Linked DNA regions of Lonchura striata. The protein of the gene in region 2 binds, or shares a complex with, the protein of the main gene of each other region. Links are inferred from orthologs where the notes say so. Each region holds a gene or a part of one and is shown on either strand. Other genes may lie near its edges.

Evidence for each region.
Region 1: the proteins of LRRC7 (region 2) and CAMK2A are in contact, whole or in part, in a crystal structure (PDB 6X5G), measured with the Homo sapiens proteins. The link is inferred for Lonchura striata from reciprocal best matches to the Homo sapiens genes LRRC7 and CAMK2A. Residues at the interface, in NP_001357714.1 of Homo sapiens: His843, Gly844, Arg845, Arg846, Pro847, Leu848, Ile849, Arg850, Gln851, Asp852, Arg853, Ile854, Val855; in NP_001350919.1 of Homo sapiens: Glu96, Phe98, Glu99, Ile101, Val102, Lys137, Glu139, Leu159, Phe173, Ala174, Gly175, Thr176, Pro177, Gly178, Tyr179, Leu180, Ile205, Gly209, Tyr210, Pro211, Pro212, Phe213, Trp214, Tyr222, Gln224, Pro233, Glu236.

What each region holds. Positions count from the first base shown.
Region 1 is NC_134617.1:6,351,842-6,367,473, reverse strand, and holds the start of CAMK2A (calcium/calmodulin-dependent protein kinase type II subunit alpha), read right to left. Parts: upstream 5,817-15,632; 5' UTR 5,609-5,816; coding exon 5,547-5,608; intron 79-5,546; coding exon 1-78. Other genes in the region: ARSI (arylsulfatase I), read right to left, coding at 12,494-13,901, 14,934-15,253. UniProt on the Homo sapiens protein: Calcium/calmodulin-dependent protein kinase that functions autonomously after Ca(2+)/calmodulin-binding and autophosphorylation, and is involved in various processes, such as synaptic plasticity, neurotransmitter release and long-term potentiation.
Region 2 is NC_134611.1:4,793,686-4,809,599, reverse strand, and holds the start of LRRC7 (leucine-rich repeat-containing protein 7), read right to left. Parts: upstream 5,698-15,914; 5' UTR 4,653-5,697; coding exon 4,475-4,652; intron 1-4,474.

The DNA.
Region 1 (15,632 bases), on a different chromosome or scaffold from region 2:
TTGGTATTGATGATCTTGGCTGCATACTCTTGTCCTGCCAACACCTTCACGCATCTCCGGACAATGGAGAAAGCGCCCCTGAGAACAGAAGAAGCCAGAGGTGAAGGGCTCAGTGTGGGAGCAAGCACAGCTCAGCTCTCATGTGACTGTGGGGTGAGGGGCAGCCACAGCATGGGGACAAGGATGGGGATAGGTGCTGACTGGAGCAGGGACTTGTGCAAAACAAGGAGGGATCAACTTCCCTGCACCACCATCCTTGAGGGATGATGGGAGGAGGCACATGCGGGCCTAGAGAGGAATGTGGGTTTCTCCCCGCTGTGCTCCTCTGGGACACCCCAGGCACCGTGCACTTTTCCTCCCCTTCCTCCTGGCTTTGCCCTACCTGTTGCCAGGAGGGAAGGGGCAGTGATTCCCACTGGTTCCCAAGGGAAACCGTGATGGCTGCAGCTGCCATGTAGCTCTTGGTCACTTCAGTCTGTGTGTTCTAGACCCTTCAGTCACAGCAGGACTTGGCAGCTGTGACTAGTGCCAGATTCCCACCCCGCACTGCAAAACTGTCACCCAGGCAGGGACAGCCGGGTGACCCTGTGAGGATGGAGCCCAGCTGGACAGGGATGGATGCTATTGCACCTTGCAGATGCCCAAGCTAATGTGCAAAGCTCTTCTGGGGTCTGGCAGGCCTTGGGACACTCCAAAGACTCCTGTCTGCCCTGGTACCCCATGCCCCAAGTTCTGCCAGCTCGTGGCACTGCCAGTGCTGGCGCAATGCTGGGAGCTGCAGCACTGCAATCACACACACATGCACGCTCCAGCCCTGCTGAGCACAACCTTTGTGCCAGGTTCCCTTTCCTGCCAAACCTCTCCAATCGCTAAAATAACAACTATTAAAAGCAATCCCACCTCCTGCCCCACCTTCCCCCATTCCCTTTCACCCCACTCCAACTCCCTGCTGAGGAATAAAAGGCCGCGGGCTGGCGAGTGCGGCTGATAATTGATTTTAGCGGCAGGGGCGGGTGGAGACGGGCAATTTGGGTTTGAATGTGATTTTTGGAGGAGCAGGCGAGCAGCGGGTGTGGAGGGATGGGGATGGAGCCCCAGCAGAGCTGGCAGCCCACGCGCCCAGTGCTGCCTCGCAGAGCATCGCTCACGGCACGTGCCAGGCAGGAGTTGAGGGAAAACATCCTGGTGCTTCCCAGCTTCCCCGTCCTGCCATTTAATCCTGGCTCCTGAAAGAGCTGAGCTGTTAATATCCCTGAATCCTGGGGAAGAATAACTGGAAAGGGTGGGCGAAATGCTTCGTATCCAGCTTGCAGTAGGTAGGCAGACCAGAACTATTGGCAGTCCTGTGGTCTCGCTCTCTTCATCCTGCTGGGAACCCCACACCGTGTAGAGTTTGTGGGCTCCTGTATATCCCTGGGATTCATCTTCTCTAATTTTTGTCCTAAAGACATGTGTGATGTTTCTGCAGTGGCAGGACAGTCTGCAGCAGAGAGTGCAGCAAGCAGGGATGTCCCTCTGCCCCAGCTCAGGGTTTCACTGCAGAACCCAGCATGAGGCTGGAGGGCTGTGGGTGTCCCAGATCCACTGGAGGCTGGAGACTAATAGTCACTCCTGGTCCCAGTGTCCACAGCCACTTGCTCATCTATTTAGTTGAACTGAACAGCAAAAAAGGAGGAGCCATGGGAAGCGGCTGTTTCACTCCCCCAGCTGCATTCCTGGCTTTTGGCTCCTCCAGACCTTCCTAACAGAAACCAAATGTCTACTTGTGGTCTGTAAAGCATAAGTAAAACCCTGTGTGCCTGGAGGGTGGGTGGAACATGGAACACTGGATGCAGGTGCAGGATACCCAGGGGTACAGCATACTTGCCATACCCCCATCCTTGTTCCAGCTGGGTCCTTCAGTGGGTCTGCATTGGCCAGGAACCCTCCACACTGGGTGTTTGACCCCCAGCCCGGCTCTACTCTCTGTGCCAGGCTGCTACCTTGCTACTCAGTTCCATGTAGGATTTTTCCAGCCTAGCGGGGAAAAAAACCACTTTGCTCCATCTAAATACATCATCTTCATGGCAAAGGCAGCATCCCCTTCCACACCAAGGGCTCATGGCGCACTGCAGGCAGTGCTGGGGGTGCCATGCAGGGAGTTCAGCCCTGCTGAGCTGCAAGAAACCCCTCTGGAAGGAAGGTCTCCTGTCCTGTTCCCTGGCCATGGGCAGCAGCATCTTCCTTTGCTCCCAGGGTTCTGGGCCTTTGGGTGGAGATCACCCCAAGCCTGGTGGCAGCTGAGGACCCCCATCTCTGCCTGGCTTGGATGAGACAGCATGTCCCAGTGTGAGCAAGGGACGGGTACATCACCTGCAGGGCCATGGGTACACTCTGTGTCCTGGTCACCTGGCTGGACCCACAGCCTAGAACAAGCCCTGTCTCTGCAGCCCCGAGCCCTGGCACTGCTGAGCCCCAGCCCTGCAGCCTCTGTCCCTTGATCCCTAGGCCAGGCATGACCCCATGCCTCGTCCCCACGGCCTTCCCCACCAGCTCAAGCAGCGCCTTTGCCACCAGGCTGCTCCGCTTCTCCCTTTTTCACACCTTCCCTGCCAGTGCCCGGCTGTGCTGCTGCCACCCTCCCTCTCTTCAACACCTCCTCCTCCTCCGAGGCATTTTTTTTCCTTTCTAGAGAGCAGAGTGTGGGCTGGGGATTTTTTGTTCCTCCATATTTTTTTTTTTCCTTTTTAATAAGCCCCCTCTCCTGCAGCTCCGGGAGCGGAGGGGCTGATCCTGCGGCTCGGCACGGTAATTGTCTCCAGCCTCTCCCTGAACCTGCTGCGGGGGCGGATTTGGAGGCGCCGATGGAGCTGCACTTCATGTTTGTCCTACTCCGGGGGGCCGTGGGCAGGATCCTCTCCCTGTCCCCCCCGCTGCCCCCCGCCCGATTCCCTCCTGCAGGCGTGGGGATCGGAGCAGCCCTTCACTGGCTCAGCTTTGCGGGGGCTGCCGCAGGAGTGGGCTTTCCCCAGCTCCGTGTCCCCCGCTCGGGACAGATGTCCTCCCATGCTTGGGAGGTGCAGGGATGTGCCAAGGGCTTGTGCCTCGCTGGGCAGACTCTGCAGATCTCCCTGCCCATCTCGGCCTGCCCCCAAAGCCCCACCGTGCTGCTGCCATTAGGTGTGTGGCATCTCAGACCCCCGCCTGCCCGGCGGCCAGGGTGGGTGCCAGCCGAGGGAACGGCAGAGAAACAGGGCGGGTGCAGCAGCCTGGCAGCCCGGGCTGGGGACTCACCGTGTGCCCCACAACAGCCCGCTCCCGTCCCTTGGGGACAGCAAACTCAAGATGGACCCTCTCTGCTCTGAGTCCTTGCAGGACGCTGCTCCCTGCCCGGCTCTGGCGCGGGGAGAGCGGTTCTGCCCAGCCCTGCCAGGACACCCGCCCCGACTGGCACCGGGAGCGTCTCTCCGGAGGGGAACGGCGCTGCCCAGCGCCAGCAGCTGCCGCAGCAGAGCAGAGGTGCGGCACTTCGTCCTGATTTCCCTCTCTAAGCCCATGAAGCAGAAATTTCCCCGTGGGAAACCGCTGATTTTTGAATGTGCCAGGATGTGCTGGAAACCATCCCAGTGGAAAATCCCCAACCAGCTCCACAGCACCTTGGCTAACCTGGTGAAGCCCCTAACTCGGGAACACCTCAGTGATGCTGTTGTACCTCCCTCTTGAGTGGATGGAAGAGCTGTGGGATGCACCGAGCTGGGGCTACTGCCCTGCATCCCCCCAGAACTGGGGTGGTCGGGGGCGATGCTCTCAGGGGCTGCTGAGCTGCTGCGCCAGCTTTGCTCCTTTATTCCCTTTAAAATGCATCTGTCCAGGTGGTTTTGGACCACAGTGCCGGGCAATGCAAGCAGCCCCCGAGCCTGGGTGCTCAACCCTCCAGTCAGCACCCACCCAGCAAAGCATCACAGCCCAGGTACCTTCAGGAGCCCTCCTGGTCTTCCCCCATCACTCCCAGCCTGCGAACTCCCTTCCACATCCCCACAGCCACCTCTGCCCAGCCAGAGCCCCACAGCTTCACCACAGGCACAGAACAGCCACTGCCTCACCTGCCTACCCCCTGTCACCACCAGAAAACCCTAGAGCCCTGAAAAGCCAAGAAAAGTCTGGAAAAAGCAGGTCCCACATCCCACCTTGCCACCAGCTCCCCGGAGGGTGCCCATCCCCCTGCCTGCAGTGCCAGCTGGGGCTGTCCCCACCACAGGGACCCACTCCTGAACCCAATCCCCTGCAGTCCACCAGCCCCTCTCTGTCACCCTGATGCCACAGGGATGGGTGTGAATGTCCCAGGACAGGGTGGGCTCCATTTGCCTCCACGGAGCTGCACTTTGTAGCAGCACTCCGATGCCACAGTTTGGCTGGGGAATGTGAGCAGCACTCAGCCCAGCCATCAGAAAGTCCTCCTGTCTCAGCCTCTCCATGTCCCCATCTCTGCCCTCTCCCTTCTCCCTCGCCCCCATTTAACACACCCACGTGCATGTGGGCACACGCTGAGGCACAGGCTGCTCTGTGCCCGGGCAATGCAGGGCTGCGGGGTTGGAGCATCCCTGTGCCTGCCGACGGGCACAGCTTCCCCTCCAGGGCACAGGCACCCTGAGCCCACCACCACGCTGCCAGCCACTCCGAAGGGACGGTGGCCACACGGCCCAGATTTGCACACCAGCTCCAAAAAAAGGCACAGAAACCAAAACAGAGGCACATGCCTGCTCACTCCTGCACCCGTTTTGTAGGCTCGCGCTGGGCGGGACGCGGAGCATCCCTCCACACAGGGAACCTGGCATCCCCTGCTCCACCCGGGGGTGCTCAGTGCTCCCCAGGATCCCCTGGCTGGGCACAGGCAGCTCTGTTTGCACACACACACACACACACACACAAACACACACACACGCACACACTGATCCAGGCACACACGATGACAGCTGGACCAGAGGAGCCGAGCTCTCCTTTGCAGGAAAGCAGGGTCAGACAGTGCTGTGGCTCACTGGGACAGGGGTGGAGAATACCCTGGATCTTTCCAAAAGCCACAGGGATTCTCTGGGGACTGCCAGGCAGACTGGGTCTCCTGCAGATCTACTCAAGCCCTAGTGAATCTACACAAATAAATTCCCTAACGAAATGTGAGGGGTGTCCACTGCTTTGGCTTTCCTCCTCAGCTGTCCTGTCCCTCCTACCAGCTGGAGAACTTCCCAAGGGAGCTAGCAGCCTTCTTTTTTGGGAGCAGCTTTTCCATAAGAGGGGCAACCGAGCCTTTCCCAAGCAACTCCAAACCTCTGGGGTGTCCCATGCCCCCAGCCAAGCATCCACCAGCAGCCCCTGAACTCAGGCAGGGACAGAGAAGCAGGTCTGGGGCTGGAAGCTCCTGTCCTCACTCGCGTGCCCTCTCTGATTCCCACGGCATTCTCTCCATGCCCATCTGCTTTCCCTCATCTCCAGCAGTTCCCAGCACCGCTGAGTCTCTCTCCCAGCCAGGGCACAGCCCCGCTCTGAGCATCCCAGCCCCATCTCCAACTTACTTGCCCAGTTCCTCAAAGAGCTGGTACTCCTCAGTGAAGCGATTGCAGGTGATGGTGGCCATCCTGAGGGGCTGGAAATGCTCCCTCCCGGTGCGGAGTTTGGGGCAAGCAGCTCTCCTCTCGCTCCCTCCCTCTCCGTGTGCTCCCGGGGCTCTCTCCTCGCTGAGGTAAATAAGGGAATATATTTGATTGACAAGCCCGGAGATAATGATGAGGGCAATTTGTCTTCTCAGCTTCACAAGCCTTCGTCAGCATCGCCGTCCCCATGGTGACCACCGCTGCCAGAAACGCCCTGTTTCTGTTGCCGGGGCAACTGCTTCCCAAACCCGCCGCCCTCCGTGGGGACCAGGGCCCTGCTGGGCACCCGGGCCGGGGGCTGCCCGGGGGTCACCCACCTGCTGCGGAGGGGGACATCTAAAATACAACTATTAATGGCAAATTAAAGGCTGTGGCAGTGGTAAAATAATTGGGGCAAAAAAGGTTTCCATGGAAACTGTGGTTTCCATGTTGCAGGAGGATGCTGTCACCCCAGCAACTGCTTATCTCCCCCCGCCCCAAAAAAAAAAAAAAAATACAGGCCCTTCTGGTACCTGCAGCAGCATTCCTGGGGGCCCTGCGGGCTGTGGGATGGGGCCACACTGCAGCAGGAGGGAGCAGATGGAGCAGAAGTGTGTCAGGAGAAGCTGGAGAAATCATGGCAGGTCCCAAGGTCCCCACACTGTCCCACCTTCAGCCAGGGTCCCCAGAGGGGCTGGCCCCGATCACACTGCAGGGGAGGGCTGGCTGCTCCCCACTCCCCCATTTGCCCACTGCATCCCCCAAGGGCCCTGGGGTTCCTGTGGAGCAGCTCCTGAGGGTCCCTCACAGAGAGGGATGAGCAGCCTGGCCTGAAGCACAGCTAGAGGGGAGCAAAAGGACTGTGTCCTGGGGTGCTGTGTCCCTGTGCTGCCCAAGCCAGGGAAGAAAGGGGGGAGTTTCAAAGTGCGAATAGGAGGAAGGTCTGGCCTCTAGTCCTTGGACTTTTTGTTGCTGAGTCGCCTTTCTGCTGTGCTGAACATAAGAAAGCACAAAAAGTGTGATAAAAGTGGAGATGTGAGATCCAAAACCTCAAGGAAGGGGTTTCCCTCTGAGTCCCCACCAGCCCTCTCTGGGGATCCAGCAGCACCCACTCTGTCTACAGCACCCCTTGCATTTTCCACCTGCTGACTTCCCCCAGAAGATCTTTCTACTAGGCTTGTGTCCCATTTCTGGATGATTTTGCAGCAGCGGGGCCCTCCTCACAACAGGAGAAGGGACTCCCTGTGCCAGCTGGGAGGGCATTGCCTTTGGCAGCTGAGACAGATTGAGTTCTCTTTCAGGCTGCCATGGAAGGGTTAAAAGGAAAATAAAAGGTTCTAACCAGACAAAAATAGGGAGAAATCTTTGAGAGGGGAGAGAGGAGGAGCAGAGAGGGAGAGAAGAAAGGAGGTGGAAGTGGAGGAGGACAGCAAGTGGCGGAGTGAGGAAGAGGAGGGGGAGGAGGAGAAAGGTCTAATGGCTTTTCCATTAATTGCACCATTACCCACCTTCATCCCCACCTTGTATCCCTGCATCCAGCCTCCCGCTCCTGTCTGGTCCCATCCAGGTGACCCTGGTGGCAGAGCAGGGACTGATTCCCAGCCATGGAAGGGCACAGGGGTGAGGCCACAGTCCCCAAGGGTTGATGACCTCCAGACCCACCCTGGCCGTGCCCTGGCATGGGCAGAGCACACCAGGCACCCCCACCTGGGCTACAGGCAATGCACATGTGCCACCTGTGCCCCGGGGACATGACAGTCCCCAAAATGCCTCCAGGCATCTGCACAACTCCTCCCCATGGTGCTCCCACAAAAAAAGAGGGGTTCATTCTCCACCCCAGGGCTCTGCCAGGTGGTGGGGGGCTGCCATGGGGGCCGGTGCATCTGGATGTTTGTGGGAGTGCTTTCCTCCCCCAGCATTTTGCTGCCAGCCCCCAGCAGCCCCTTGGAACCCTAGAGGCAAGAGCAAGAGCCCCCCACTCCCAAGACCTCCTGGATGGCCGTGGGCAGCGCTGTGCCCCTGCCTCACTCCCACCTCCCTCCCACCTGCGCTGCTGTTCGTGTCCCCGTGAGCTCCGCAATGTGACCTGCCCCCCTCCCCGTGCCCACCCCCACACTGCCACACGTGCTCAACCCCACACGCGTGACTCTGCGTGCTCCCGGAGCCGGAGGAGGGATGTGTCCCTTCCTTCCCCCCGGGGCCCCTGCTGCAGCCCAAACCCCTCACCCGGGCAGGGGTGATGGCAAAGTCCCCCCCAGGACCCTGCCTCCCCCCCCAGGGTTCTCCTGCCCAGCAGAGACACGGCTCTCCAGGAAAAGTTTCTTCCTCTCTGTTCTTCTCTCTATTCAGTTTTTTTCCTTTTCCTCGACATTTTTGTTTCTTAGGGTAAGGGGGTGTCAGACTTCTGCATGCTGAACAAGCTCTACTTTGCTGGTAGTGTTTTCCCAAGCAGGAACAGGTCTCAGTCCTGAGTGCCTGGGGACAGACCGAGGGGAGCAGGAGCTCTGGGTGGAATCTTTCACCTCTGGGCTGGGGGTTCCCCTGTAGGGGGGAATAGTCCCAGTCCTCTCCCAGAGGCCTCCGGATATTCTCAGGATGTGTCTGTTCCCACCATCCCAAGATTTGCTCCTGCAGGGCTTTGGGAGCCATGCTGCTCTTCTGCTGCCATGCTCGGGTCTGGCCACCTGATGGAGACCTTCATCCCCAGTGCTCCTCTCCATCACTGGGCTGGCCTCTCCAAAAATGCATCCTGCTCCCCACACCCTCTAGCTCTGCCTGTAGAGCTTTGGTTTCTGCACCACGGGGCTGGCCCAGGGTGGGCACCCGAGGTCGGATGCTGAACCCCAACCCCACGGGATGCGCAGCTCAGGAAGGACCCACGTGTCCTGGGGGGCTGCAGCAGGTGCTCCTGCTCCCAGGGGATGGGGCTTACAGCAGTGCCTCGCACACCAAACCAGCCAGGCTGCCAATTACATACTGCAGAGATCCCAAAATTACTGGGACAGTTTCACATGCAAGCTGGGGTCTGGGGGATGCTCAGTTGCTGTCCTCTGGAAAGCTGAATTTGGGGTTATTTTTAGATAAGATTATAAATACCGTGGTGAGGAGAGCTGATTTACATTTAGGGCTGTGTTTGCAAACGTGCCCTGTCCCTATGGGCCCAGCAGTTACTCCTGCAACCACAGGAAGGTGCTTTTGGCCGAGACAGGGTGTTCTCAGTGCCACTCTCTCCCCTACAGCAGGGTTCATAGGCAAAGACCCTCCAATGGACATGCCCATGACACTTGGGGACAATCAGTAGGTGCCATGTGGCTCCCTGGAACCATCGTGCACCAGATCTGAGTGGGGGGAACCTGCAAAACCACATGTCCTCAGATCACTGGCATGAGAAAGAACACAAGTGCCCCTGATGCAGAACACCTTCTGAGATGCTCAGGGTGCTCTGCCACTGGGGCAGTTTGCTGGGATGTCCATCCCCTGGCCTGATACTGGGCTTCTTCCCTCTCTCCGGTGGGAGTTGCCTGTGGGGTTGGAGAGGCTCTGACGTACCCCCAGTCCTGCCTAATGCATCCCATCCCTATTCCATCCCCGTCCTATCCCACTCCCCTCCTCTTCCCAGCCCAGCCCAGCCCAGCCCCACCCCCCTCTTATCCTCCTCCCCATCTCTATCCCATCCCAACTCCATTCTTTCCCAGCCCATCCCCTTCCCACTCGCTCCAGCCAGCAGGCTGGAAACAGCCAGGGTGGGGACAGCCAGTGCACACGGACAGAGAGGCAGCCACCACCCCTCCATCCCCGGGGGCCCCGGCTGCACCCCCTGCCCCTTCCCTCCAGGCCCCCATCCTGCATCCAGCTCCTGCTGGGCTCGGGAGCTCCCTGGGGCTTGCCAGGAGCTTTGAAGGGAGGTTGGGAGGGAGGGGAGCCTCAGCCTGTCTGTGAAAACACATCTCCCGGGTGCGGGGAACTCCACTGCTTGAGCATCTCTCCAGCTGCATTAACCCCTTGGCAGCCAGAGCGCGCACACAGTCTCAGAGGACTTCAGCTCTCTGAAAACATGGGATTTTGGCACATAGCTGCGTTTTTCACAGCACAGACCATTAAGAGCATTGCTGTGATGAGGAGAACACGTGGCAGCAGCTGCATCTCCTTTCCCAGCCCAATGTTAAGACACAGCACAGCTGGAATCAGGGGTGAAGGACAGCTGCTGTCCTCAGGCTGGAGGCTTTGCTCTCTCCTAGCACCCGGAGATGCTCCTGCCTACTTCTCCTCTTTGTTTTCAGGGACTAAGCTTTTCCTTCAGCTGTTTTTTCTTGCAAAGATTCAGAATCCAACTCTTTTTAATTAAAATACAGATGACAGAAGATCCACCACTGTGGCCAGGCTGACTGCAAACCCAGCATCAGCCCAGCAGATCCAAACCCAGAAAGAGGAAGTGAGACCAGACGAGCATTTTCATGGGGATGTTTGTAAAAGAGAAGGGAGGAAAATGGAGCATGTTTTCATGGAAATTTACATTTTTGGAAAAAAAAAAAAAAGAAAATAAAAGAAGGACTAAACTTGGATGCATTTATGTAAATATGGAAATGAAAGCTGTTTCCCAAGCGTTGTCACCACATCATGTCCAGCCCTGCTCTCCCATTCCCTTCAGCACCAACGCTCCCTTAGCTAATATTTATTCCCAAGCCCCTGCAGCATCACCTGCTGCTCTCCCCTGGCTTTGGCTCTGTCTGCAGCAGCCTCCTCTTCTTCAGCAAAATGTTGCTTTATTTTCAGCAACTGCTTGGCTTTGCCAAATGGCAGCCGGTGCCGCAGTCCCACTGATGGTGCACATCTCCAGGGACCAGGCTGGCTGATTTGAGGTAGTTTGAGGATGTGGAGCTTCCTCCTGGGGCTCACCTCCACCCAGGTAATGCCATGTGGAACAGTCGTCTTGGAGCAACATGCTAAGGGAGCAGGGATGGAGATGGGGCTGATGGAGGAGCGGGGTCCCCTCTGAACCCTGTGCTTGGGATGTGCCTGCAGGGATGCAGGGAGCCAGCGGGGTGGGATGGCACAGCAATGGGCGTGCGTGGAGCAGCGGGGACTGGCACACACACTGCCACGCTCCAGCTTTTCAAACTCCTTCCCAGCTCTACAAGAAGAAGCCTCCTCTCTTCTGCTTTGCTGTCAGCTGGTTTTTTTCCCCTTTGTTTCTAGAGAAAATCCCATTACCCCCAAATAATCCAGCTAAGAGTAAGAAAAAAAAAAATACAAACATGTCATTTTCTTCTCATCCTCATCCCTCTCTCACACACAGGGCTTGAAAGAGCACTGAAAGGTATTCAGTGTGCACGCTGCCAATTGTCACATCTTTCAATGACAGATTTTAAATGAATGTTATTTTGCAAGGGAGAAAGAGAGGGGGGAAAAGAAAAAAAAATAGAAAGCCCACACTGCTCATCCAAGAGCTGACAAGTCCTAACGGGCCTCATTTTCCAGAGACAAAAATAACTATTTTCAAAATTCACAGCAGGGCCTTCGCCTACACACGCTGCACCAAGAGAAACCTGTGGGGAGAAATGTAAAACACATTGTGTAAATGGAAATGCACCATGCATCCAAAGTGATTTCAAAGCTATTTACCCCCTTCCATCCTCGCCAGCGATCCTGCGAGCGCGCGTGTGCGCGCTCTCACCCCGCCGAAGGCGCGGGGGCCCGGAGCTTCGCTGGCTTCCCTGGCCGCTGGCGATGGGATGGGCTGGCTCCCCACAGCAGCGGATGATGGGGAGGTGTTTTCCTCCCCACGCGTGCGCTGCTGGAAGAGCAGTGCCCATCTGTGGCGAGGGGATGTGGCGCGCTGCTGGCAGGCGGGAGACGTCCCCATCATCCCCGTCCTCCACCATTGCTTCTAAAGTCCTGCAGCTACAAAACAGCAGATCAGCTTCTGCAGAGACCTTCTTGAGATCTTCTACTGCTCCAGGTTCAGCAATGGGATGTGGGGACAGGGACAGCTCCAGCACTGGGAAGGGGCAGACAGGGGTGGTTGGCTGGTTGGATGTATAGGATTCATAGGGAGGAACAGGGGTGCCTAGAGGCTTGCAGATGATGGGGGTGTCCAGGCAAATTTTGAGTGAAAGGCTCTGCTGGGTACCTAACCCATGTGCAGTCCACCGCCAGAGCCTGGGTCAAACCTGCCTCCCAAATGTGAGGCCAAAGAGAACCACCTGTCCTCTGGGAGCATCCAACCATGCCTCCATGGCCACAGCTCCTCATCAGGGCTGCTCCCGGCTCCCCAGGCCAGTGCAGAGGGGAAGCCATAGCCCCGCATGAGGTCACAGTAGCAGCATTACTTAGTCCAGCCACGTTGAATCTCAGGTCTGACATCTGTGGTCAGGAATCCAGTGCTCCACAAAGAAGCAATGTGGTCTTGGGTTTGGGGGAGGCCTTGAGTTCCCAGCAAGAGCAAAGGTTGCAGCTGCTTGGCAGCAGGCTGCAAGCCAGGGACAAACAGAAATGTTGAGGTTTAACGTGAAGGCAGAGCACCCCATGCTTCCTCTTGCCCTTGTGATGGCCAACACTTAAAGCTTATGACTGGCTGCAGAATCCTTGAGGAAAGGGTCTCTCTCTTTGGAAGCAGCTGTGCAGGGCCAGCCCAGCTCAGCACAGTCATTCACCACCACCAAGCACTGCAGCAGAGACCACACTGCCCTTCCTCACCCACTGGGAACAACTCCCTGTGGCCACCACTCCAGCCAGGGGGGAGAAGTGTTTTGGAGTAAACCTTGGAGCAAGGGAGAGCAAGAAAGCACTGGCCACCTCCCTGCCTGTCCTTCTCCCTCGCTCCCATCCCATGGCACTGCAGTCCAGAGCCCCACCCTGGCCAGGATGGGTGGATGCTGGAGGAGTGTCTGTCAGATGCGGTTGGACATGAGCCTGGTGTTCAGCTTGCGGAAGAAGGAGCGCAGCTTGCAGATCTTGCACTTCTTCTTCTTCTTCTTGTTCCTGCTTTTCAGGGACTCCCGGCCACCTTCCCACTCCTCCCCATCATCCTCACTGGCCCAAGGTCCCCAGGCCCCACCGTTGAAGTCTGGGTGAGCCCGGGGGTTCTCCGCAGGGTACCGCACCGGGATGGCTGTCCGGTTGTAGTGCACCAGCCTCATCAGGAGGGTCCTGACCACGTCTGGGCGCTGCCCTGAGAGGTCGTAGCGCTCGTAGGGGTCGGCAGTGATGTTGAAGAGCCACACGGACTTCTTCAGGCCATCAGTGAGACGCTCCAGGTTCCACCAGCTCCCTGGAAAGTTGGTCAGGGTCTGTGGGGGTATCCAGTCACTGTACCCTGGGTCACCAGTGAGGAGCTTCCACTCCCCAACCCGGATGGAAGCTTGCACAGCCGTGTTCCAGATGCCGAAGCCATCCTCCAAGGAGCCATACTTGGCGTGGTTGTACAAGGGGTCAATATTGTGCAGGATTTCAGTGCGTGGTGAGTCCTTGCCCTCACTGATAGCAGGCCAGACATCATATCCATCCAAGCCTTGGACATTGCTCAGGTTGCCCCTGGCCAGGCTGACCAGAGTAGGGTACCAGTCTGTAATGTGAACTAGCGCCCAGCTTGTCCGACGCTTGCGCTTGATCAGGGGACTGTGGACAAAACCAATGCCACGCACTCCCCCTTCCCAGTACGTCCCTTTGCGACCCCGCAGTGGCCAGTTGCTTCCCCCGGAGAAGGTCTGCCCACCGTTGTCCGTGGAGAACACGATCACACTGTTGTCATAGTACCCATACTTCTTGAGGGCCCAGGTGATGTTCTTCACTGCCTCATCCATGCAGGTCACCATGGCCGCGTACTTGCGGCGGGCGACGTTGCCCATGGAGCGGTAGCGGTAGATGTACTCCTTGGGAGACTGCAGGGGCGTGTGCACCGCTTGGAAGGCCACGTAGATGAAGATGGGCTCCTTGGGGCTGTGGGATGCCAGGATCTTGCTGACGCGCTGGGCGTACAGGAAGGTGGAATACTTCCCGCTCTGGTCCCACGCCACGTCCTCCCCCTCGTGCAGGTCGTAGCCGCAGACGTCCGGCCCGTCGCAGTTGTCGTAGGTGTAGTAATCCACGTTGCCTGTCAGGGAGCCCAGGAAGGTGTCGAAGCCCCGGCGGGTGGGCAGGCACTCCTTCTTGTAGAAGCCAAGGTGCCACTTGCCCACCATATGTGTGGAGTAGCCGGCTTCCTGCAGCTTCTGTGGCAGGGTGACCTGGTCGAGGGGCAGGCAGTTGGGCTGCCGAGGGCGGATGATGGAGTGCTGCAATCCTGTGTGGATCTGGTACCTGCCAGGAGCAAGAGCCAGGGGAAAGCAATGGTGATGAGGAGCAGCACTGGAGGAGGATGTGATGGCACTTTATGTGTTAGAGAACCAAAACAAATGCAGATTTCCATGTCCCCAACCCAACCCAATGAAGCAAGCTCCAGCCAGGGACAGGGAGCTCCTCATCCATCCATAAGTACCAAAAGTAGATGCAAAGAACACAGAGAGAGGCTCAGCAGACATCTCACAAAAATGTCACCAGCATTTGTCCCCACTGCTACCAGCCTAGGGAGGTGGCTCGGCTGCGTCATGGCTGGGGAGCACAAGCAAGTGGGCTCAAAATGCCCCACCTGAATAACCCCCCTGTCTCTGTCCTCCCTTGCTTTGCACACCACAAAGATATCTGGGACCCCTCAAGAACCTTCAGGAGAGAAGGAAGGCCTTTGCTTGGACCATGGTGGGCTCCACCACTCCAGGCAGTAGGTGAGCACATCCCTGGGGCCTACTTCTCAGCAGGAGGTGGTCTGGTGGGATCTGCCTCCTACAGTGAATGCTGAACACACAGTACTGCTCCAGAGAAAGCCCCACCTATCTTAGAAGGCAGAATGGCCCAGGATAAGGGGACATCTGACTGTGCTGCCATGGGAAAAGGCAGTGGAGCAACATCCAGCCTGTGCTGGCTAGTGCAGCTCTACCCTGTGCTCAGGGAAAGCACACACCAAGGGCCTCACAGCAAATCTCCAAGGGCCAGTGTGTCAGGGACTACCTGGGGACACAGCTCCTTGCCCAGCACCAAAGACCTCCTGACTAGGGACCACCCTCTCCCAAAGTGACATCCATTACCCAGCAGCATCCACATTTTTGCTCTTGCCATGTGCCACTATTTATCCTGTGTGGAAATCAACTATTTACCCAGGAAGCTTTCTAGAGAAATCCAGATCTCCATCCTCAGCCAATACACCAGGGCATCACTCTAGCAGCAAGCTGGGGTTAAGCCCCTCAGAGAAAGGACAAAAGGGGAACATGAGTAGGTTGTGGGCAGGCACTGGCTTACCTGCCAGTTATCAGCTGGCTCCGGGACGGGGTGCAGATGGGCTGGATGTAGTAGTTCTCCAGCTTCACACCCTCTGCTGCCAGCCTGTCCAGCGTCGGCGTCTGGATATCTGAGCCGTGATAGCCGATGTCATGGTAGCCCTGGTCATCAGTCAGAATGAAGATGATGTGGGGTGGCCTGGTGAAGGTGGGAGGCAGTGATTTCTCCATGGGGTCTGTGGCCACATCAGCCACCAAACTGGGCTTCATCCAGTCCCAAGACAAATAGCCAAAGCTGAGCAGGCTGACGAGCGAGAAACCCGTGAGGGCATAGACGGCCATCCCGAAGCGCTGTGCTGCCTGCCAAGGGTGTTACTGTCCCAGCATCGCCTCAGAGCCACGGAAACAGGAGCTCTCCCCCTCCTCCAGGAGGGCTCCCTGACCTAGAGGATGCTCCCCACAACCCTCGCAGCTGGTTTTGCGGGAGCAGCTTCCATCCAGGCACACTGGCGTGCACACAAAGAGCTTAATCCGCCGGGGCTGGGTTGCCTTCAGTCAAAGGAAAATAAGCTCACGCTGCTCCAATCACACACATCTGCACGGCGGGACGAGCTCCTCGCACGGGCTGCCGGCGGCCCGGAGCCGCTCACCAGCGTCCCGAGCGCTGGAAACGCTTCCTGGCTTCCTGGGGCTTTCCCCTGCTGTTATTTCTTTATGAAGA
Region 2 (15,914 bases):
GATTGTGAGGATACAGAGGAAAAGGAAAAGGAAAAGGAAAAGGAAAAGGAAAAGAAAAAGAAAAAAGAAAAAAGAAAAAAGAAAAAGAAAAAGAAAAAGAAAAAGAAAAAGAAAAAGAAAAAGAAAAAGAAAAAGAAAAAGAAAAAGAAAAAGAAAAAGAAAAAGAAAAAGAAAAAGAAAAAGAAAAAGCTGTGGGATAGCTCAGAGTCAGATCTGCTGCATGCAGTCACAAATGCTGGGCAGAGAGGAACTAAATTAGACAAGGAAAAAGCAAATGTGTTTGGATATGGGGACGAGCTGCCCGGGAATTCCTGGGAAACAAATGGTGACTGGAATTGTGGCTCACAGCTGCACACGAGTGCCCAGCACCACAACTCTCCCTGCCCACAGCTCCAGGCCCCTGTGCTGCTGCCTGCAGCTGCAGGAGAGGCTGGCCCTGGCTGGACGGGCACAGGGGGCCAGGCAGGGTCCAACCCAGCCCCGAATTCTCATTTACCCAGCCCCGGCTTCGTCTGGGGGCTCACAGCAACCAGGGTCTCCCGCTTCACCGACCCCGTGCATGAGATTCCAGCAAATCCTGAGAATCCCAGAATTCCTGAGGAAAAGCCCTCCAAGGTCCCAGCTGCGCCCAATCCCCACCCTGTCCCCAGCCCGGGCACTGAGGGTCACCCCCAGCCCTTCCTTGGACACCTCCAGGGATGGGCACTCCAGAATTCCCTGGAATGCCACTCTCCTGCCTCCTTGCCCCCACCCTGGTTTGTATTTCCCCCAAACTCACTTGGACTAAAGAGAAACCGAAGGAGGACACAAAGCAGGCAGCTGCTCTGTGGGTGGATGCTGCCAGCCCTTCCCATGGATACAAGCGACCTTGGGGATGGATTTCTCCAAAGGCACCGCTCCGAGGCCAGGGTGTCTCGGGCAGGGATGAAATCCAGGCTGACACGCTGCCTCACACCTGCTGCTGCTGCAGCAGTCCCCCCAAAATAGCAGCTCTGAGGAAAGGCCTGAGCCTGGCAGCTCCTGGAGCTCCCTTTTCCACTCCTCCAAGTCCTCACTCGGTTGTCATCACAACTGGAAATGCTCATCCAGCAGAGTGACAATGACATCCCGTTCAAAGGGTGCCTTTTGCTGGCACGTGGAGACAAGGGCAGCCCTGGAAAATGCACAGAATTCCCTGCTTTCAGGGCTTTCTGTGCCCAGGCTCCCAGTTTTCAGTGTGGCCTCTTTCCACAGAGGTATTTCTGCAGGAATCCTGAGAAGTGGCTTTGCTGCAGGAAAAAGAATCCTGAGAAAAACACTGCAGCACCTTCAGCCATAGATCAACCAACCCAGAAAGCCCTGTTCTACATCCCAAGGAAAATTCCTACAAATACGGGTCCACTCACTGAGCTGGTGCCCAAGGCTCATGCAGAACCTCATTCCCAAAATGGCACAACCTGCAGGAGTCCCTGGACAGGGACCTGGGACAAGGAGCTGTCCTGGCCAGCAGTGGGATCCTGAGGGACAATGAAATGTCCCTGGCCAGCAGTGCCCAGTGGATCCTGGATTGGGAAGAGCATTCCCAGCAGCTCAGGGCTGATCCTGCCCCTGTGCCCAGCCCTGGGGCAGGGTCCCATCCACAGCCTGAGTGACCACGGCCACTCCAGCCTGGCCTCACTCCCCTCCTGCTCCTCCATGAGCACCACAAAGCCCAGAGGATTTGGGATTGATGCTCCCAAACAGGAACACCTCGTGCAGCCGTGGCTATTCCTGGACAAAACCCGTTGGAAGGCAATTCCAGCCCTCCATCAGCCCGAGGAGCTCCTCCCAAGGCTCTGCTCCAGGAGTCTGTCCCAGGCTCTCCCCAGAGCTCCCTCAGGACAGCACCGAGCGCTCCCAGCCCTGCTGTGCTCCCCGGATTTCCCTGCGTGGCACAGCACATCCCCCTGGCACAGCAGGGCCCCGTCACTCTGCTGTGACACAATTCCCAGCTTTCCCCACAATTCCCAGGTTTTTCCACAATCCCCAGCTTCCCCACAGCTCCTGGCTGCAGCGATGCCAGCCCAGGCTGGGGTGGGAGCTCCCAGGCAGGGTAAGGAGGGAGCACAGTCCCAGGAGGAGCAGCACCTGCAGCCCCCAGGTTCCTTCCCCCGCAGGTGGGGACAGCATCCCCCACCCCAAACCCAACTCCTGCAGGGCTGGAGGGCAGAGCCCCGCTCCTGCCAGGAGCAGGAGGAAGCCCATTGTGTATTTCTGCTTCCCAATCCAGCCAGGAGAGCACCGGGAGGATCAAACTGCCTTCGTGCTGCAGGAGCGAGCGCTGATGGATTTAGAGGGGGAAAAAAAAGAATCAAAAAAAAATCTCTCTCCATATAAGGGCTGCGAACATTTTCCCACTTAAGACAACGTGTGGGATCATATTCACAGACACAGAAATATGTTCTGTTCCCCGACACCCACGGGCCTGGAACACCAGGCTGAAGTGCTGGCAGGAATCAGAACCATTTGTTAAGTACAAAAAATGTCTCACATAATTAGGGAACTGCTGAAAGCCACCAATTTAGTGCTCAGGCTGGAGAATGTAGGGATATTTCTTGGAACAACAGGCAGAGCTGCCTCCACGCCGCACACACAGCAAATACCTGGGGCAAAATCAAATTGCACCGAGATTCCCACCCCTTCAGAGGATGGAGCCAGGATATCCCCACTGGGAGGACCACCAGAGTCCTGATTTTAATGCTGCCTATGAAGGGAATGGCCCTTCCCAGCCTCATCCCTCCGTTCCCAGCATGGCTCCACCACCATCCCAACCTGTCCCTCTGCCCCAGGCTGTCCAAGTGCCCTCCCGGCAGGAGCACGGGGCCAAAAACATCTCCCAGACGTGTCCCAGGGCTGAGGAACCTCTGTCCCAGAGACTCCTCAAAGGTCAGCACTGGGAAGGGCAGCGGCGAAGGGAAGATGGAAGGTGCTGCTGGAAACAGAACTTGTGGAGGTGTCTGCATGGAGCTGATTTTTTATATATTGGGGGGGAAAAGCGAGAAAAGCAGAGACTGCTGGGGTTTGACCTGGGAAGAGCTGGAGACAGAGCTCCTGGCAGCCACAGCTCAGCTCCCTGGCCCCCAGAGCCACCAAAGTCTCCCCACCCAGAGCTGTGTCCCCTCCTGGCAGCATCTCCTCAACCCCAGCAGGGTTTGTCCCCAAACAAAGCCACCATTGTTTCTCCTAAAGCCACCAAGGCACGTCCCCACAGAGCTGTGTCCCTTCCTGCCAGCATCTCCTCAACCCTCAGCGGGGTTTGTCCCCCCCAGAGCCACCAAGGTGTGTCCCCCAGAGCTGTGTCCCCTTCTGGAGAGCAGCTCCTCAACCCCCAGTGGGGTTTGGCTCTCCTAAAGCCACCAAAGTCCCCCTGCCCAGAGCTGTTGCCTCGTGCCAGCATCTCCTCAACCCCAGCAGCATTTGTCCCCAAACAAAGCCACCATTGTCCCTCCTAAAGCCACCAAGGTCTGTGCTCACAGAGCTTTGTCCCTCCTGCCAGCATCTCCTCAACCCCAGCAGCGTCTGTCCCCCACCAAAGCCATCATTGTCCCCACAGAGCTCTCTCCTCAACCCCAGCAGGGTTTGTCCCCTGCCAAAGCCACCATTGTCACTCCTAAAGCCACCAAGGTGTGTCCTCCACCCCCCTGAGCCGTGTCCCCTGGTGGCAGCAGCTCTGAGCTCCACAGGGTCTGTCCCCCCAGAGCCACCAAGGTGTGTCCCCCCAGAGCTGTGTCCCCTTCTGGACAGCAGCTCCCCAACCCCAGCAGCATCTGTCCCCCACCAAAGCCATCATTGTCTGTCCCCACAGAGCCACCAAGGTGTGTCCCCCCAGAGCTGTGTCCCCTTCTGGACAGCAGCTCCCCAACCCCAGCAGCATCTGTCCCCCACCAAAGCCATCATTGTCTGTCCCCACAGAGCCACCAAGGTGTGTCCCCACAGAGGTCTGTCCCTCCTGCCAGCATCTCCTCAACCCCAGCAGGGTTTGTCCCCTGCCAAAGCCACCATTGTCCCTCCTAAAGCCACCAAGGCGCATCCACACCGAGCGCTGTCCCTCCTGCCAGCATCTCCTCAACCCCAGCAGGGTTTGTCCCCCTCAAAGCCACCATTGCCCCTTCTAAAGCCACCAAGGTCTGTGCTCACAGAGCTCTGTCCCTCCTGCCAGCATCTCCTCAACCCCAGCAGGGTTTGTCTCCCCCAAAAGCCATCATTGTCCTTCCTAAAGCCACCAAGGCGCATCTGCACCGAGCGCTGTCCCTCCTGCCAGCATCTCCTCAACCCCAGCAGGGTTTGTCCCCAAACAAAGCCACCAAGGTGTGTCCCCCACCCCGCCGAGCCGTGTCCCCTGGTGGCAGCAGCTCTGAGCTCCACAGGGTCTGTCCCCCCGAGCCCCCCGGGTGTCCCCCCGGCCCCCCAGGTGTGTCCCCCCCGTCCCCGGGTGTCCCCCGGGTGTCGCCAGCACCTCTGCAGAGCAGGCTCGGGTTCTGCAGCAGGGACACCAGGCGCCGGCGCCGGCCCCGCTCGCGGCTCCTGCCGTGGCTCGGGGGAGGGATGAATCCGCTGCCTCGGCGCGTTCCTCGCGGGGGGAATTCGGGGATGCCGCCGTGCCCGTGCCCGTGCCCGTGCCCGTGCCATGCCATCCCTTCGCTCCGGGGCCGCCGCGGCGGCGATGTCCGAGTGACGGGAGCGGGGTCGTGCGGCGATCCAGGGCCGGGCCGAGCCCCGGTGCCCGGGCAGCGCTCGGGGCAGCGCGGGGGGATGCTCGCCCTGCCCGCTGTGCGCCTGGCCCGCGGGGACGATTCCCGAGCTCCGCGGCTGCCCGAAGGCTCCTCAGAGGCGGTTTTATTCCCGGCGGATCCCCCGGAGTCGGTCCGAGCTGCCGAGCATCCCAAGGACGCTCCGGACCTCCGGCGCGGGCGCTGCCCGAGCGGCGCCCCGCGACCCCCGGGAGGCGGATCGCAGCGCTGGATTCCCGGCCGTGGGAATGTGCCCGGCGCTCCCAGTCCCGCCGCGGCTCCTACATCCCGAGCGCCGGGATCGGCTCGGCTCTGCGCTCTCCTCCGCCCGACTCGCACGAATTCGGATTATTTCTGCCCGCTGGCCACTGCTTCCTAGCCTAGAAAAGGTTACATTTGCTCTCCACGGATTCTCTTGGCTCCGAGTCTCATTTCCAAATCTTTTCCCCAGCAAAAATATTCGGGAAGGAAAAAAAAAAAAAAAAGAAAAAAATTAAAAAGCACCGTTTTCCTCCGATGAGCTTAAACTCTTGCAGCTCTAAAGTCATTCACTCCGGATCCAAGGGAACTAAAGGATGAGGAATGTTCTCCTCCTTATAATAAAAAAGAGCCTTCCTGATCTTACAGCTTCTTTTCTTCTTTATTCACCAGAACCTGATCCATTAACACGGTATTTGCTCCCTTTTCCCAGAGCGCGGGGATTTAAGGCTCCTTTCTTCCCCTGATTCTGCGCTTGGCTCCAGCCCCGCCAGCAGCGGCTTCTCCCCGGGGCTCTCCAGCCTCATTCGAGCTGCTTCCAGCCATCCCTGCTCATCCCTCCACCTTCCTCCCTTCCCCAACTTCTCCGCAGCTCGCACCGGGAGGGGCGGCTCTGCCCAGTCAAACACAGAGGATTTCTCTGCTCTCGACAAATTGCTGCATTCCCAAGGAAAAAAAAAATCACAAAAAAAAAAAAAAAAAAAAAAAAAAAAAAAAAAAAGCCACCAAAACCCAGCCCCGAGTTCTGCAAGCCTTGTCCTAGGATTTGATGCAATCTGCAAATGAGAGCCTACGGAAACCACGCTAAAATTAGAGGGAGCTGAGATGAAAACCAAGGACACATCGTGGCTCTTGGAAATCTTTAAATAGGGCTTGGTACCACCTCGAGGAGCTCGGGCTGCGCTGGGCTCGCATCCACCGAAATCCCGAATTCCTTAATTGGGATTCTCAAGCGGCCCTGGCTGCTCCTGGGACCCTCTCGGGGTGCTGCGGGTGGGCTCCCGGCCCCAGCTGTGTCCCAGCGGCTTTTCCCGTGCCGATGCTCAGCCCGATGGATCCACACCCGCAGGGGAGCAGCTCCTCCTCCACCTGCCGAAAACCGTGCCCAGCCCGGTGCCAGGCGGGCCAGCCAGGACGGGCACCCTGGAGCGCGCCAGGGACGGAGCCTCGGCTCCCCCGCCGGGCAGGGGAGGGGTGTCAGCTGAATTCCAGCAGGATAAAATTCCCTGAATGCCCAGGAGGATTCACCCTTCCTGAAGCCCTGCTGTCCCTCAGTCCCCCTCCCTGACCCCAGGCCTCTCCCGGTTTGCCCCGGCTGCCCCAGGGGACGGGGCTGGCCCAGGGGATGGCACCGTGCCCACGGGGCTCGGGGGGACTCGGGGGCTGCCACCGCACGGCCCCAGCCTGTCCTGGCATGGATTGCCATGTCCTGCTGTGCTCGGGATCCCTGGAGTCTCTGCTTTAGGATCAACGCTCCCAGCAAAGCCTCACCAGGTGCAAACACCTTAAATCAGGTGATTATTCTGAATTTTGGGGGCTCTAACGGTGCTGCTGCCTTGAAATATTCCAGGAACAGCGCCCAAGCTTTTAAAATCCTTTCTGTGGGGTTTTAAACTTGAACCAATTGTGAATGCATTGTGGGAAGCAGCGAGGAATTGCTGCAGGAGCAGGGAGTGGGGGATTTGCTGCTGGGCAGGCAGCACCTTCCCAGGGATTCCAGCGCAGCCCTCCGCAGCCTTTGCTCCCGAGCTGCAGCTCCTCGGATCCACCAGGCACCCCGGAAAGCTTTTGTTACTCCAGCAAATGCTAAAATCAGTGGAATCTAACCCCCCTTTTTCAGGGAATTCACACCAACTGTGTAACAGAAGCACAGAGCAAAGCTCCTCCTCCGTGAGGTAATTAAAAAATTAAAATCGCCGCTTTATCCAAAGAAAAAGTTTTACAGATGGAATACAGGCCAAGGTTAAAGTTCACAGGGACACCGAGGTAAAGCAGCGCAGCGAGGCACCGGATGATAAAATCACTGAATTTCGGAATAATCACGGTAATTAATGATGTTTGGAGAACGAAGAGCCCTCCTCTCGCTGCGGCTGCACGCAGAGGAGGCTCCGTGACCTCCCGGGGCCCTTCCCTCTCCACGGCCAGGCACCGGGAGCGCTCCCCAGAGCGGGTCCCGCTCCCGGGGCCACCGTCCCGCCCGAGCACGCCGGGTCCCGGCTCGGCTGCTCTGCTCCTTCCCGAGCGCTGCTCTGCTCCTTCCCGAGCGCTGCTCTGCTCCTTCCCGAGCGCTGCTCTGCTCCTTCCCGAGCGCTGCTCCTTCCCCGGAGCGGCCGCAATCTGCGAGGTTGCCATGGCGAGCATCCCTCCCTCCTCCTCCTCCTCCTCCTCCGCGAGGAGCTGAGCGAGCAGATGCGGAGCAGCACAAGCCGGCGGGTTAAGTCACTTCTCTGCTCGTGGGGCGCTGAGGGAAACGCTTTGGATTTCAGCTCTTCCCAAGGATTATTCCCACCCAAGCACCTGAGGTTAAAGGCACCAACCAACGGCACGTGGCCGGAGTTTTTAGCTGGAAATCACGGGCGGACAGGAGCGAAAGGAAGGGATTTAGATGGAGTGTGGGCCACGGCAAAAATCCCCATCGGACCGTTTCCATTTCCCAAAAGCCAAGGAACTTCCAGCAGGGCTCTCCTGTCCGTGACCCTCCCCGGCCCAGCCTCCCAGGGCAAACGAGCAAAGGCGGCTCGGTGCCCTCGGCACACGCTGTCCCTCGGCAGCGACACGGACACGGACACGGGCATGGACACGGGCATGGACAGGGACACGGACACGGACACGGACAGGGACAGGGACAGGGACAGGGACAGGGACAGGGACACGGACAGGGACAGGGACACGGACACGGACACGGACACGGACACGGGCACGGACACGGACACGGGCACGGACACGGACACGGACACGGGCACGGACACGGACACGGGCACGGGCACGGACACGGACACGGACACGGACACGGGCACGGACACGGGCACGGACACGGGCACGGACACGGGCACGGGCACGGACACGCGGGCTCCGAGCGCAAGGCCCGGCTCCTGCCCAGCCTCCCCCGAATCTCCCAGCGCGGGGGGAGCCGGTGCCCATCGCCCGCTGCCCCCAGACCCCGGGCACCGCTCTGGGCACCGCGCTGGGCACCGCGCTGGGCACCGCGCTGGGCACCGGGCCGGACACAGAACGGGCCGGACACAGAACGGGCCGGGGCACGCAGCGGCAGCGCCACGCGGGACCGCGGGAGGCGGCGATGTCCCTGCGCGGAGGGAGGGAGGGAGGGAGGGAGGGAAGGAGGGATGGAGGGAGGGAGAGAGGGAGGGAGGGAGCCTCCTCCGCACCTCCCCGCGCCTCCACCGGCGCTGCGAAGGGCGCAGAATTTTCCAGGAGCCGCGCCGAGCCCGAGCGCGCCGCAGGCAGGTTGCGCGGCCGCGCCGCGGGGGCTGCGCGGGGCCGGCGGCGGCGCGCCCCGGGCGCTGCCCGCGCTCTTTGTCCTCGGCGGGGCCGCCCCGCGCCCCCTCCCCGCGCCCGGCGGCGGCCCGGGCACCCCCCGGCCCCGGCCCCGCTACTCACGGTGCAGGCGGGAGCGCGCGTCCATGCGCGGCCGAGCCGCGGTGCGGGGGCTGCCCGCGGCTGTCCCGCCGCCCGCCGCGCCGCGGAGCCCAGGGCCGGGCCCGCTCCGCCTCCGCGGGCGGCGCCCAGACACAAAGCGGCGGCGGCGGCGGCGGCGGCGGCGGCGGCGGCGGCGGCGGCGGCGGCGGCGGCGGCGGCGGCGGCGGGGCGGGTCCGGTCCCGCTGCGCGCCCGCGCTGCGCTCCGCGGCGGCGCAGGGGCGGTGCGGGGGGGCGGGACGCGGCCGCGCCCCCCCCGCGGGGCGGTGCGGAGCGGGGATGCGGGAGGATGCGGGAGGATGCGGGAGGATGCGGGAGGATGCGGGGCGGGGGATGCCGTGTGGGATGTGCGGGGGATGCGGTGCGGAGCGGAGCGCGCAGGCGGTGCCCGCGCCCGTCCCCGCCCGTCCCCGTCCCGACGGGGCGCCCCGCGCGCGGAGCATCCCCGGAGCATCCCCGGAGCATCCCCGGAGCATCCCCGGAGCATCCCCCGGCCCCCAGCCACGGCCCCGGGGCAGCTCCGGGCCGCTCATCGCTCCTTCCCACAGGAGCGGTTTCCTCACCCGGGCCAAGGTGCGGGAAGGGCTCGCAGCCTCCCGGGAGCAGTGCTGGGCACAGCTCGGTGTCCCCTGCGGGCTGCGGTGTCACGGGCCACGGGCTAAACCCGCGGGGGTCATGGGGAACCCCCGGCAGGGACCCGAGGCTGCCCTGCTGTCCTCCATCCCCGCGGCACAGAGCAGGGCACGCCCGTGCCTGTGCCACCCTGTGCCACCCTGTGCCACCCTGTGCCACCCTGTGCCACCCTGCCCGCTGTCGCTGTGTGACCTGCAGCGACCCTGGGAACCCTCCGGGGCTCTCGGAGACACAGAACGCGTTGGGCTGGGAGGGACCTTAAAGCTCACCTCGTTCCAGCCCTGCCGCGGCTGGGACACCTCCTGCCACAGCCCTGCCCGCGGCTGGGCTCCTGCAGCCTCTCCTGGTGGCCCTCGGAGCAGCTGGGCCAGCAGCAAGTCCTGGAGCTGCTCAGCTCCCTTCTGTGTTCCCAAAGGCAGCAAAGCCGGCCCTGCTCCTGCCGTGTCCCATTCTGGGGCTCCGGGGCAGCCACTGCCACCCACGGGTGCTGGCAGGCCTGGCGGTGACACGGGGTGGCCGCAGGGACACGGTGACATCACAGCTCTGTGCTGATGTTCCTGAAAAACACCAAGATTCTGAAGGGCACAAAGGAACTGGAAAACCCCTGGAAGAGCCGAGTTCTTATTGAGAAAATAGAGACTTTTCTTCCCTGAAAAGACAAATGTGGAGAGGGAGGAACACAGGGATGTGCCAGGGGGAGGTGGGAACCAAACCCCCCAAGCCTGGAGCTGGCAAGGCCAAGGCTGGAGCTGTGGAACTGAAACCCTCAATTCCCATCACCTCACACCAGTTCCACAGTGGTTCCACCGACTCCAGCAAACAGGAAAAGCAAGGGCAGCAAAGAGCAGGCCAGAACAGTGAGGAATGTGGGTTCCAGAGAATCCAGAGAACTGTGAGGAATGTGGGTTCCAGAGAATCCAAAGAACTGTGAGGAATGTGGGTTCCAGAGAATCCAAAGAACTGTGAGGAATGTGGGTTCCAGAGAATCCAGAGAACTGTGAGGAATGTGGGTTCCAGAGAATCCAGAGAAATGTGAGGAATGTGGGTTCCATGAACAGTGAGGAATGTGGGTTCCAGAGAATCCAAAGAACAATGAGGAATGTGGGTTCCAGAGAATCCAGAGAACTGTGAGGAATGTGGGTTCCAGAGAATCCAGAGAACTGTGAGGAATGTGGGTTCCAGAGAATCCAGGGAACTGTGAGGAACGTGGGTTCCAGAGAACTGTGAGGAATGTGGGTTCCAGAGAATCCAGAGAACTGTGAGGAATGTGGGTTCCAGAGAATCCAGAGAACTGTGAGGAATGTGAGCTCCAGGGAACAGTGGGAAATGTGGGTTCCAGCACCTCCTGAGCTCTGCTGAGGCAGAGCTCCAGCTGGGCAGTGGAACAAGTCCCTAAGCTGGGCTTTGCCTCTGCTCTTCCATGCATTTCCCCTTTCCTGCTCTGGGCCTGGCTGCATTAGAACAATGAAATTCTTTCAGCAAATTTCCCAGGAAAGCTGGATGTGTTCCCTAGAAGCGTTCTGCAGGTTTGGGCTCAGAAGGGTCTGGTCAAGTCCAGCTGGGAAGAAGGGGGGTGAATCAAAGCAGCACATAGATAACCCTGAAATAAAGATATTTTTATTCCCCATTTTTTTAAAGTCTGGACTATAGAGAGAAGGACTGGTTTTAAGGACTCAGCTCCTTCTGTTCAATAAATGGTGGAGCTGCACAGCTTTGAACATTTTCCCTTTAGAACTCCCAATATATTTTTTCCCTCTGGTTTCACCAAGTTCACTCAAGTACTACTTGAAGTATTCCCGGACAAAGCTGATCTCCAATTTTGGAGCCTTTCCTTGTGGGGTTGAGAGGAGGGGATGAGGCATGGCCCTGGTGCCACAGGCACAAGGGGGGTTCAGGTGGCAAAGAATTGAGCTGGGCAGGAGGGATCTGCCAGGCTCTGCCCAAAATGGCCAATGGGTTTGGGAATTTTGATTGAGGCAGAATTTAGGAGATGAAAAACGGGAGTGGAAAAGGAAGGAAAATCTTTGTGGAAACCCAAAAAGCAGCCGGGTGCTGCCCTCCCCCCTCAGCCCCAGTGTGGATAATTGTCACTGTCCATGGGGAATTGCTGGAGCTGTTCCACCAGGATGACACTGGAATAACTTGGGGTATTTGCATCCCTGTACTAAAGCTAATTTGGGGAAAAGTTCCTTTTTTCTGGAGCGATGACATCATCAGGCTGGACCTGCAAAAATGATAACTCTTAAACCTGGAACAGCAAATTTCTTCTTTTAACACTGAAATGATTGCATTTCTATCATCTGGAAGAACCTCAAAAACCTGTTTTAAAATGTAACAACCGGGGAGATTGAACTGCTCCCTCTTCCCTGTCTCACAAAAGGACAGAGGAATTCAGGAGAGGAGCTGGGACCATCCCGATCTCCTGCTCTGGGATGTGCCCTGGGACAGCGGGAGGTGTCCCTGCTGCAGTGAGATGAGCTTCAAGGTCCTTCTGACCAAACCAGTCTGGGATTTCGTGGTTCCATGAGCACCCCGGGCGCCACTGGGATGTCCAGTGCTGGCCACAGAGCTCAGGAACGCTGCCAGAAGAATCCCCGCTCCAATTTCCATTCTCGCCTTGCCGGGACCTGGAGATCAGGCGGCGTCAAAACCCTCCCCCGGCATTTCAGTCCCTCCCTGGAGCAGCTGAGCTCTCCGGGTTTACACACAAAAAGTGTTTCAATCCCTGCTTGCAGCTGCCTCTCAGACGCACAATTCCCTCTCAGCTCCCCAAATCCAGGCGCGGCTCTCGCAGCCGGAGCTGCCGTCTGAAGAGCAGCTGAAGGTCACTGCCAGCTGCTGTGCCAGCGTGGGGGCAGCAGCATTGCAGAGCCCCCCTGCTGCAGGGCTGCCGGGCTGCCAGGGCAGGATATGGCACTGCCAGGGCTGCCAGGGCAGGATATGGCACTGCCAGGGCTGCCAGGGCAGGATATGGCACTGCCAGGGCTGCCAGGGATGCTCCGGAGCCCGGGCAGAGCTCTGCTCGGAGCACAGAGCCGGGGAAGGGAATTCTGTCCCTGCCCTGCTGCAGGGATGCTCCGGAGCCCGGGCAGAGCTCTGCTCGGAGCTCAGAGCATCCCGGGGCAGGGAATCCTCTCCCTGCCCTGCTGCAGGGATGCTCCGGAGCCCGGGCAGAGCTCTGCTCGGAGCTCAGAGCATCCCGGGAAGGGAATTCTGTCCCTGCCCTGCTGCAGGGATGCTCCGGAGCCCGGGCAGAGCTCTGCTCGGAGCACAGAGCATCCCGGGAAGGGAATTCTGTCCCTGCCCTGCTGCAGGGATGCTCCGGAGCCCGGGCAGAGCTCTGCTCGGAGCACAGAGCATCCCGGGGCAGGGAATCCTCTCCCTGCCCTGCTGCAGTGGCTGCACGCTGCAGCAGCGTGTGGCACAGCAGCTGCGGGCTGTGCAGCAGCAGCGGAGCCTCTGTCGGGCCAGGCTGGAACGGGCTCCCTCCTTTCCTCTCTCACGTCCTCTGACCTGCGGGGCACCGGAGCTTTCTCGGCCTCTGGAACGGGACCGCGGGGCTGAGGGGCAGCCCCGGGCAGCCCCCGGCCCCGGAGCACGCCAGTCCCGCCGGGAAGGGGAAAGCAGGGATGCCAGTCCCGCTGTGCCCGCTGTGCGCGGCTGCGGCCACGGGCGGAGGCGGTGCCCGGCTCTGCTGGGATGTGCCTGGGGCTCCGTGCGGTTTTAAGGGTCTGGAGCATCCTGAAGGTCCCTTCCCAGCTGGACACGGGAATGGCACCAAGGAGAGCTCCAGGGCAGCTCCCGGAGCCGGCCCGGCGCAAACCTCCCCGACAGCCGCAGCACAGCGGCTGCTCCGGGTTCCCCTGCTCTGGGCTTCACTGCCGCGCTCACTCCGGGTTTAAACACCCGCGAAATGCCAGTTCCACCCGCAGCACTCTGCCCGGGACACGCCTTCCATCCTTTCCCCTCCAAGCCCCGCTTCCCTGCCTGCTGGATGGAGGATGTGGAGCTGGATGGAGAGCCCCAAACCTCCCTGGATGCGCTGGATGGAGGATGTGGAGCTGGATGAAGAGCCCCAAACCTCCCTGGATGTGCTGGATGGAGGAGATTTTAGCAAGTTTGGGTACTCCTGGGAGTGCATTTTAGCAGAAACTGCTGGAGATTTGCTTTAAGCTGGAAGAGGGAAGGAAGGGATGGGATATTGGGAAGGAGTTATCCCCCGGGAGGGTGGGCAGGGCTGGCATGGAATTCCCAGAGCAGCTGGGGCTGCCCCTGGATCCCTGGCAGTGCCCAAGGCCAGGCTGGATGGGCTTGGAGCACCTGGGACAGCGGGAGGTGGCACTGGATGGGTTTGAGGTGCCTCCCGTGATCCCAAGGGCCCTGTCCCGCTGGGTTTAGCGCCCGTTGGATCAGAGACTGAGCAAACTCCCATTTTTTGGTCTATTACCCTCTTAGCATTTAAAAATAGAGCTGTTACTAAGCAATGGCAGCGAGGAGAAAGCCAAGCCTATGGAGGAGCATTCCTGGGAACAGGTATTTTTCCCAGCCCAAGTGCTGTAAGCACTGTGGGATGAGGAGCTGTGAATCAGAGCCTGCCCCCATTCCCTCCCTCCCATCCCCACTGCTGCTCTCCCATCACCCCCAAACCGGTGGCAGCGGCACCAGGAGCTGTTTGTTCTCACTCCGCCTCGCTTTGCGGGCCAGGTTTTCCAGATTTTCCACACATCTTTCCAAAATAAAAGAGACAATAAGTGGGATGATCTTCTCATGGGGTGGGGGAACCATGGGGGCGAGAGCTGCAGGGGTCCAAGCAGTGGCAAGGCCAGCCCTGCCCCGTGTCCCCAAGTGCCACATCCACAGGGCTTTGGGATCCCTCCAGGGATGAGGGACCCAGCACCCGCTGCTTCTCCGGCTCCCTTCCCTTCCTGGGGCTCCGTGTCCCTGGACAAAGCCAAGAGCAGCACCGGCGGACGAGGGAAATTTATGGAATTAATAAAAAGATGGACAGAAATTGGAAAAATAGCTGTAATTTTCCTACATGGGCTCAAATCCCTTATGGATTTATGGCAGCAGAAATTTTTGCAGTGGGTTTTTAGGGCTGGATTTGGGATAAAGTCTCTTCTGACGGGGTTAGAATAAGGCAGAAATTCTCATTAAATACAAGAAGTGACATTTTCAATTAAGCAAGAGGAAGAAAGCAGCAGAGAATTGATTGGCCTGCTCCAGAAAATGGGGAAAATGTCATAAAAAATGGGAAGATGCAGCTGGAGAAGCCTGGGTATTAAGAATCCCACTCATACATTGAAATTATCCAAAGGAATGATGGATTTGTCCCAAATCCAGGCTCTTCTGTGTCAAAATAATTGGGAATGCAGCAGTGGAGAGGCAGAGCTTGGCTTTGCCCACGTGCAGCCGTGGCCGTGTGGGAGGGGGAGGCTCAGCCCATCCCAACAGTTCTTTGGGAATCTCGATTTCAGCAGCAGGATTCCAGATCTCTGCCCCCCGTTGAATGGAGGATTTGGGATTTGAGGCTGGAATTAGGGAGCTTCAGGAGCCACGTGTGCAGGGCTGGGAGCCAGTGAGATGTGATGGCTTTGTGTGCTCCAGGAGCAGCTCCCCTTGGACTGGGAAAAGGTGAGGAAAACTGGGATGAGCAAATCCTTGCCCAGTCCAATCCCTCCATCTCCCTTTGGCAGCCAGCAGGGATGGGGCTTTTTTCCTGGGAGGTCCCTGGGTTCAACTTGGAGGCTGCAGCTTAGAGGGGAGGGTGAATGTTCTTAACCCTTCTGTTTGCTCCAAAGGGCTCCAAAATTTGGGAATAGGGAATGGCAGGAAGACACGGAAGGGGTGAGCTCTTTGTCCAAACCGTGTTGCTTCCCAAGAAGCTGCTGAGGGACGAGCCAGAGCCCAAGGGTGGAGCAGGAGCCAGGGGGGCTGGAAAAGCAGGGATGGAGCTGCTCCTCACAGGGAAGGTGGGAAAACAGCCAGGAAAGGATCCCGGGCTCCCATGGAAGTTTGCTGCTGGAAATCCATGCTGGATTTCACATCCCTGCACAGCCCAGGAGCCACTGTCCTGGTGCTGGAATTCTGCTCCATCCCAGAACAGGGATCTCCCAAATCCCACATCCCCTCCAATCCCAGCAGCCAGGAGCTCCTCTCCTGGTGCTGGAATTCTGCTCCATCCCAGAACAGGGATCTCCCCAAATCCCTCATCCCCTCCAATCCCAGCAGCCAGGAGCTCCTCTCCCTGTGCTGGAATTCTGCTCCATCCCAGAACAGGGATCTCCCAAATCCCACATCCCCTCCAATCCCAGCAGCCAGGAGCTCCTCTCCCTGTGCTGGAATTCTGCTCCATCCCAGAACAGGGATCTCCCAAATCCCACATCCCCTCCAATCCCAGCAGCCAGGAGCTCCTCTCCTCTGGCACCCAGGGGCTGCTCCGAGCTCTGGGTTCTGCCCAGCTCTGCTCTTTCCCTGTTTGGCCAAAGCAAAACCTGTTTAATTCCCCCACAAAGTGACTAAACCACATTTCCCTCTCTTGGAGCTCCCGACTTCCTTCACATCCCGAATCCAGCAGCGGAGCTGCCGAAGGAGCAGGGAGGAAGACGCTGCCTCCTCTA